Linked DNA regions of Caenorhabditis elegans. The protein of the gene in region 2 purifies or fractionates together with the protein of the main gene of each other region. This does not show direct contact. Each region holds a gene or a part of one and is shown on either strand. Other genes may lie near its edges.

The links. The genes of interacting proteins can lie anywhere in the genome.
Region 1: the proteins of W03F8.4 (region 2) and dpf-6 fractionate together in Caenorhabditis elegans (co-fractionation; one large-scale study listed by BioGRID). This does not show direct contact.

What each region holds. Positions count from the first base shown.
Region 1 is NC_003281.10:8,036,321-8,040,076, reverse strand, and holds the start of dpf-6 (Dipeptidyl peptidase family member 6), read right to left. Parts: upstream 1,837-3,756; 5' UTR 1,831-1,836; coding exon 1,593-1,830; intron 1,537-1,592; coding exon 1,442-1,536; intron 1,332-1,441; coding exon 964-1,331; intron 921-963; coding exon of another isoform or gene 907-920; coding exon 605-906; intron 548-604; coding exon 345-547; intron 213-344; coding exon 1-212. UniProt on the Caenorhabditis elegans protein: Removes N-terminal dipeptides sequentially from polypeptides. Essential for control of distal tip cell migration.
Region 2 is NC_003282.8:5,182,200-5,185,900, reverse strand, and holds W03F8.4 (EKC/KEOPS complex subunit TPRKB), read right to left. Parts: upstream 1,779-3,701; coding exon 1,680-1,778; intron 1,624-1,679; coding exon 1,561-1,623; intron 1,510-1,560; coding exon 1,387-1,509; intron 1,281-1,386; coding exon 1,014-1,280; 3' UTR 657-1,013; downstream 1-656. Other genes in the region: W03F8.6 (Activin_recp domain-containing protein), read left to right, coding at 4-135; lam-1 (Laminin subunit beta-1), read right to left, coding at 2,683-2,813, 2,889-3,027.

The DNA of each region.
Region 1 (3,756 bases), on a different chromosome or scaffold from region 2:
CCAAATCCAGTGGATCCACGGAAATTGACTTGAAGGACTGAGTATCCACGGTTTGTCAACCACGCATTCATTGGTGAGAATCCATAATGATCACGAGCTTTTGGTCCTCCATGAACTAAAACAATCATTTTCTGTGGAACTGCTGGAATCATTCCAAGGTTTGCATAAGGACGATCACCATCTGGAACTTGTGATGATTTCAGTAGTGGAGCCTGCAATGAAAGTTGTTTTAAATATTGATTTTTCTAAATGTGTGTTTTATTGGAGTTCCATTCTCACGATGGAAAGCCTCGTAAGTAAGACGTTCTTATGAATTTATGGAATTGTTTTTCAAATGAATTTACCTGTGGTGGAAGTGACAAATAAGCTTGAATGGTCATTTCATCTCTTGCTCTGAAATCGAATCCAATTTGCTTGTTCAACGTATACTTCTTGAGTTCTGGACGTGTGCTCATGAAAAGTTCAGCCTTCTTATTCCATCTTCTGTACAAGTAAATGTCATATGGCTCATCGGATGAGGAATAGGTAACCAACCAGGTTGACATATCTGGAAAATGAAAATTGGAAATATAATGTTAATCTTGAACAAGAAAGAAAAACTCACCAATACTCATGCTAACAATATTCATAGATCCAGAAGGTTTCATGTTGACCAAATACTGAAGATCCTCCATAAATGTCTCATTTGCCACAAAAAGCTCTGGCTTATGATAAACTTCAGTTACAGCCAATAGAGTTTTGTCAGTTGGATGAATCAAAACATTTCCAATTTGCGCTCTTTGTGCAGTGTAAAGAATCTCTTTCTGTTGTGGATCTTCAAATGGAAAAACGACGAGATTTCCCAAATCACTGCCGTCTCCCATAATCCAGTACATAAAATTGTTAGATTTATCGAATGTGATGGGCCTGAAATTGTACATTTTGTAAAGAAATTGCTATAAATATAGTATTTCTTGAACTTACATAGTGATTGCCTTATCATCATGCTGAATTCTCAAATACTCCACCCAAGTATTTTGTTCAGTTGTTCTAGCACCTTCATTGCTTCTTGGTCGATAATAAATCATTTCTCCATCTGGTCCTTCTTCACTTGCCAATCGAACATTCAAATCATTATCAAAGAAAAATATTGAAAATCTTCTATTTTGAAGTACCAACTTCAATTCATCAGTTTGACAATTGAATGCATAAATATTATGGAGTGCTGGATTTTCATCATTCATTCCAATAAGAACTGTCTCCGAAATCAAGTTGTTTGATAAAATCATTGCTTTCACCATCGGCTTCTCACTAATTACTACTCGTTGGGTTTTGTCAGCAGCGATGGCTGTCTGAAATTGAAAATTCTTAGTCTTTATGTTACAATTCAACTCCACAACGTTTTTGAACTTTTTGAGAAGATTCAACTTTATTTCTAGAAAATGTTTTTTGATTGACTCACCGCAGAAATATTTTTCTTGTAAATGCGAGTATTCTCATCTCCATGATTATCTTGAGTGAACAGAATAACATCTGGAATAGCGGTCCAAACGTAATCTGAAATATCATTTTTATCAAAAAAGTTCTAATATATTTGTTCAATTCCTACTTACTCAAAATAGGATGTTCAGTCTCAAAAGTGACTTGTCTTGAATATGAGCACGATGAGCATCTCGTGAATACATTTCTGATTCCATTTTCATCAGGAGCCACGTATCCAACTTGTTTCGCGTCAGGACTCAATGAAACTGATGAATATTTTGGATCTTGGAACAAAACTTCTCGAGGAATTATATCAATTGCATGTGTGATGATGAGTAGATTTAAGATTAAAATTGGAAGAAAGAGCATTTGGAGCTGAAAAATAAACAAGATTTTTGAAAATCTGTAGGCTACCTTGAAAGGAATCATAAAGAAAAGTACGAAAAAAAGAAGAGGAATCAAATTAACAAGTGGTGGAAAAATAGATAGATTCTAAAAATTCTAAAAATAAATGATCAATGTGATAAATTGATAGATTATTTTGTATCAAAAGGAAAACATAAAGAAATCAAACTTTTATCAGTTGTTCTAATTCAAAAATTATATTAAAAAAGGTCACAATAGGTACAAAAACATAGAAACTAAAAATTTAATTACCACCTGAATAAAAATACAATCACCGGTTAATTTTATAGAAAACCCCAAAAGTTTCTGGGCGGAGAGAATCACTTCCGTCCTGCCTCTTGTACATGTACAAGAGAGAACGAGAAGACGTCGGCGAAAAGAGATGCGTGTGAAAATCAAAAAATATCAGTGACTGGTCAAGTTCTTCAGAACCCAAATGAAGTGGCGCCGGAAGCCCGAGAGCGGACAAAAATGAATGTGTGAGAGCATATTGTCCGTTTATGTGCTCACGGAGCACATTTCGACGAAAAGCACGCACAATAAACACACACTTTTGAAGGAAGAAGTGGCCTGTTCACCCTCTTTTGACCCTTTATGTACACTATCATTTTGTACTGTATCGGAGCAAAGAAATTGTACTATTCATGAAGTGTTTTTTGTGTTTTAGGACTAAAGCGGAGTTCAATTCAGCTGTGAGAGAATCCAAATTTCTTGAGAAATGGTAATATAGTAGCCGAAATGATAGGGTACGTGGTGCCAGATTAGAATAAAATTTGAAACCTAGGATTTTCTTGAGAACTTATTCAATACACATTTAATAATTAGACTCCTAATTTGCCCTAGACGGGAATTCAAACAATAATTCAATTGTAACTTTTTGACATTTCGACAGTATATCCTCGCCTAAAAATTTTCGCAAAATTTCAACAAACGACTGAGTCAGTGCAAGAATATTAGATGATGGTGGGTAGATTTTTTAGTGAATCGTTATTTAAGAAAACAAAATATATGCTTATGATCTACGAAAACTTTATTTTTTTCATTTAAAAATAAAAATATTTTGTTGTTTGTAAAGTAAAGCTTTCAAAAATTAAAAGGCTAATTTGACCTCGTGTCATTTATAGGCATCAATTGCTCCAAAAATTCCAAAAATGCAATTCGTACTATTATTGGCTTAGCCTATTATTTGTCAATATTAGTGTTTACTTTTGGTCGATTGGGGGCGATTTTTTGTAGTGTTTTTATAGAATTTTCCAATTTTAACGAATTTAAATTTTTAAATTATGATTTTTTTAGTAGAGTGTATAATTGGGTGCCCCAATTTTGAAAAGCTTGCGTTTAAAAAAATCTACAATTTTTTAAAACCGAAACGTTGGCATATTACAGAAAACGGAATCATCTTTTTAATCTATAAATTTCCTCAATGTTCCAAAAAATTTGAAGATTTTTTTCGTTACTTTTCTCACGGAATACCCAGTTACCAATTAATCAAATTATCTCTTATCAAATCAAAAAATGTCAAACCACTAACTGAAAACTGGATGATCTTATCTTTTCTCCTGTTCTCTCAGACCACCTTCACATGAATAAAGTTTCCGTCTAAAGAACACCGTCTTTTGAAACATCTGATTGAAATTTTTAATTCAGTTTTAAGACCTGTTTTTTCTTGGTTAAATTCGTTTTTTAGAATTGATGTAATTTGAAAAAAAGTGTGAAGAATTGGGTTAAACCGATGAATGTTGATTTGAGAAAACTCTGATCTGCATATAAAAATTTGAACCGTCTGATCTTTTTTTTCCGATCCTTCCCGATTTTTGAATATTGTAGACAGTGATATTCTTCCGCGAGTTTTTATCTTTTGAAATACAACATTTTCATGGCTTCTTATCA
Region 2 (3,701 bases):
CAGGAAGACGGTTGCATTGGCCCAGGAGACGAGAAGAATTGCTGCTGCAGTGACAATATGTGCAACTCGAGCAACGGTCTGATCTATCCAACAGCCGGAATTCTCATCATTCTCTCGCTTGTTTTCAGGCCCTAATTGATGAATATGATGACGTCACACGACTAACCTCATCTGTATATACGGGCTCGGCGCGATTATCGAACAAAATTTACGCATTTACTGTATTTGGAAATAAAAATCATGACATTTTTTAATTTGTTGCTTCAAATTTATTTAATTCACATCGAAAAATGTTTCTCTTTAATTGTGTGGGCAAAGTCGGAACAGCAATTCAAATATTTTTCACCATGTTTCCGTAATTTTAAATAATATATGTGGTCAGTAAACTAGAATGAATAAATGAAAATTGATAAATTATTCTCAGAAAAAGAGGAAAATGTGAACAAATTTGCGAAATCCCGGTTCCGACTTCACCCACACGTTGTTTTCTGGATTTTTTCCAGCAAAAAAATTTTGAAAAAACTTACAACTCTCTCCGATTGACCCGATTGATTTTATCCGTTGTTTCCTGAATTCTACAATTTTCAAATTATTTTAGTAGTTTTCAAGGTATACTCCTGAAGCAATTCAATCGAATTTCAAACAAATAAAATAATTTTTAACAGATGTGCATTTTATTACAACAGAAACTTAATGAAAGAAGAAAAAACAGAGAAAAGAAACTATACAGATTTTTTGGTATATGTTTTGATCCATAGTGGGTCTCGGATGGAAGGCAGTATTTGAGATGTTCGTGGCAGATTGATGGGAAGATTAGAACAGGGGGCACAGAGTTCCAGAGAATTCAGTGTTCAGGTGGGCATCGGTTCGTAGTGATGATGATGATGATAGGGATAAGCGAATTAGCGTAGAAATGAGGCATTAGTCAGAAAAAGAAAGAAAAACTAGATTGCGATTCGAAAGTGTTAGGGTAAAAATGGAAAAAGGAAAATGGAGAGAATTTCGAGAAAATGTTAAGAAACGAAATCCTTGGAAACCATTCTCGAAACGATGTGATCGGAGAGTCCTTCTTCGACAAATGCTGGATTTCCTACTTGATAAACCTTCTTGATCATGTTAACATTTGCGAATTTCGGTAGGCCTTCCATTAATGGCACAGGTGTTCCCTTGATTGCTTTCGCCAACTTTTTCATTGCTTTTCCGGAATCATCGTCGAAAATTGCGGCGATAATTGCAGTCGAGTGCTCGGCAATTCCGAAGGTCACTAGAGAATCGGTAATCTGAAATTAAAACGAATTTAAAATCCAGTGAGTTTGAAGAAATACTAGCAGAATTAAAATCTTTTAAATCATCACTTTTTTTCGAAATACTTTGAAATTATCTTACATTTCTACTCGGAGAAAGCGAATAGACAAGCTCCGCAGCTAGACTCCGACAACTCATCCGATTATGAGCCGATTGATGAACGGCCCGGTTGGCGGCGGCGAGGAGTACGAACGGTTCGAGCACCTAAATTTTTCCAATATTTTTTGTTGCAATTTTTTCTATCTAAACACTTACAAGTTCCGCACGAATTAAAGCTGCATCGATTTTTCCTTCCTTCAACTGTTGCGAGAGTTCTGCCTGCAAATATCAAATTTCATTATATTTTTTTTCAAAAAAAGAGTTGTAAATTTTACCGCATTTTTAACATCCTTGAATAGACAAACTCTGCATGTCTTCCGTTGTGTAAAATCGTACGGATCTGGTTGAAGCTCATAAAGATGCGAATGCTTCATCTGAAATTAAGTTTGTTGATTCGATGATTCAAAAAAATGTTCGGGCGTTTCAATATAACGTTTTTGAACGTAAAATGTATCAAAATGCCGCAATTTCAACACTACAGCCTGGTAAACATGTTATTGGCATGAAGTTTTGCAAAAAAGTTGGCAGAAAACAAGTGAAAACATCGTAATTTCGGACGGAAAAGTGAAAGTGTAAAGAGGCACGGAAAGTGCGCCAACGCAGGTGTACGAGTCGCGAAATGCGTCAGCTCTCGCTCTTTGCGCGTTTTCCGTTTTTGGCGGACATTCAAACAGAGATTTTAGATTAATTATCGGATCTTAACCGTTTTGAACTTTTTCTTGAGTTTTTATGACAAAATAAAAAAAACATAAATTGAAATTGATAGATTTATAATCCAGAATTTTTAAAATAGAAAGATAAAAACGCAAAAACAATTAAACTGTGTCTGAGATGCATAAATAGTTAAGCAAGGTGTGGTGATGGTGATTGGGGAAAAAAGCAAATATAAATTATTAGGAAAAAAGGGAGGGATTTGAACTGAAAAAGATTAAACAAATGGTGTAGAGTATTGGGTGATAAGGAAGAAAACAAACAAAAATCAATTTTCGTAATTGAAAGAAATATATTGGAAGCGAAAACTTGAAATTGAAAAATAATAATAAAGAGACAACAACCGTTTTCAAAAAGCGGGATGGAAGAAGGCGAAATTTCAAAATTAGAAAAATTGCTCGTAAAATATGATGTAAATATTGTCTATCCGAGTTTCACCGAGTTAATAATATACCACACTTTACGAGCAATTGTTGACTTTCATACAGTATTATTTGATTAAAGATGAAAGTCTGGCAGTTTTAGAGCTTCAATAGAATAAAAAAACTCCTAAAATTAAAGCATAATTTATCCACACGTGGCATGGAAGTCGGTCTTCTCATGAATGTCACGTGTCACTCGTTCCAGTCGGGAATTCAAATCAGCCAGAATCGTCTCGTAGTCGTCCAATCGCATTTCGGTTGAGTCCTTTGATAAATCTGAAAATTATTTGGTTTTTGTAAACTTGTAGTTTTTAAAGTTTTAAAGTTTTAGTTTTAAATTTTCAAACTCACTGTCAATATCATCGTTGTGTCTCTGAGCCTGATAGAGCAGCTTGGCAGCTCTTTCTCTTAGCTTTTCAGCTCTCTGTTGTGGAGCAACATTTCCTTCCATTCGTTTTTCGAGAAGCTCCGTGGCACGCTCAAGATCGGTCTAGAAATTTGAAAAAAAATACAATTTTGAAAAAAAAATTTGACTGTTTCAACATCAGCATTTAGCTTCACGTTTTTTAGGGATGATTGCTGTTAGACATATTAGGTCACCAAATAAGTTTCGGGTCAAAAATCATAACTTTGTTCGCTGCGTATCGATTTTTATGAAACTTTGGGAATTCATGTTATCAACAATGTTCTTTCATTTGACAATAGTCACAAAATTTTTTGACCACCCCAAGTGTCCTAACTCGGAGCCAATTTTTTCAGGCATTTTTCTGATCTCGCTTCTTTTCAGCTTTGAATTGAGGGTTGTGTGCGGATTTCGGTTTGTTTAAAATACATTATTAGAAAACAACAAAAGTTTGAAAAAAATCCGTCCAAAAAATTTTTTTTTGGATGGTCGTCAGAAAATCTTTTAAAAAATTTTTTGTCGAAAATTCTAGATTTTTCATACAAAATGATGTAACCAAGTGTAAACTATTTTTACACATACAAAACATATCAATTCGAAACACTAAAATGATAATAGAAAATAAAATTGTTTCAAACTAAAATGATTTTTATGCTTAAAAAGCTGACAAGAAGCGATATCAGAAAAATGACTGAAAAAATTGGCTCCGAGTTTGGGCACTTGGGTTGGTCAAAAAATCTTGTGACTATTGTCAACTGAAA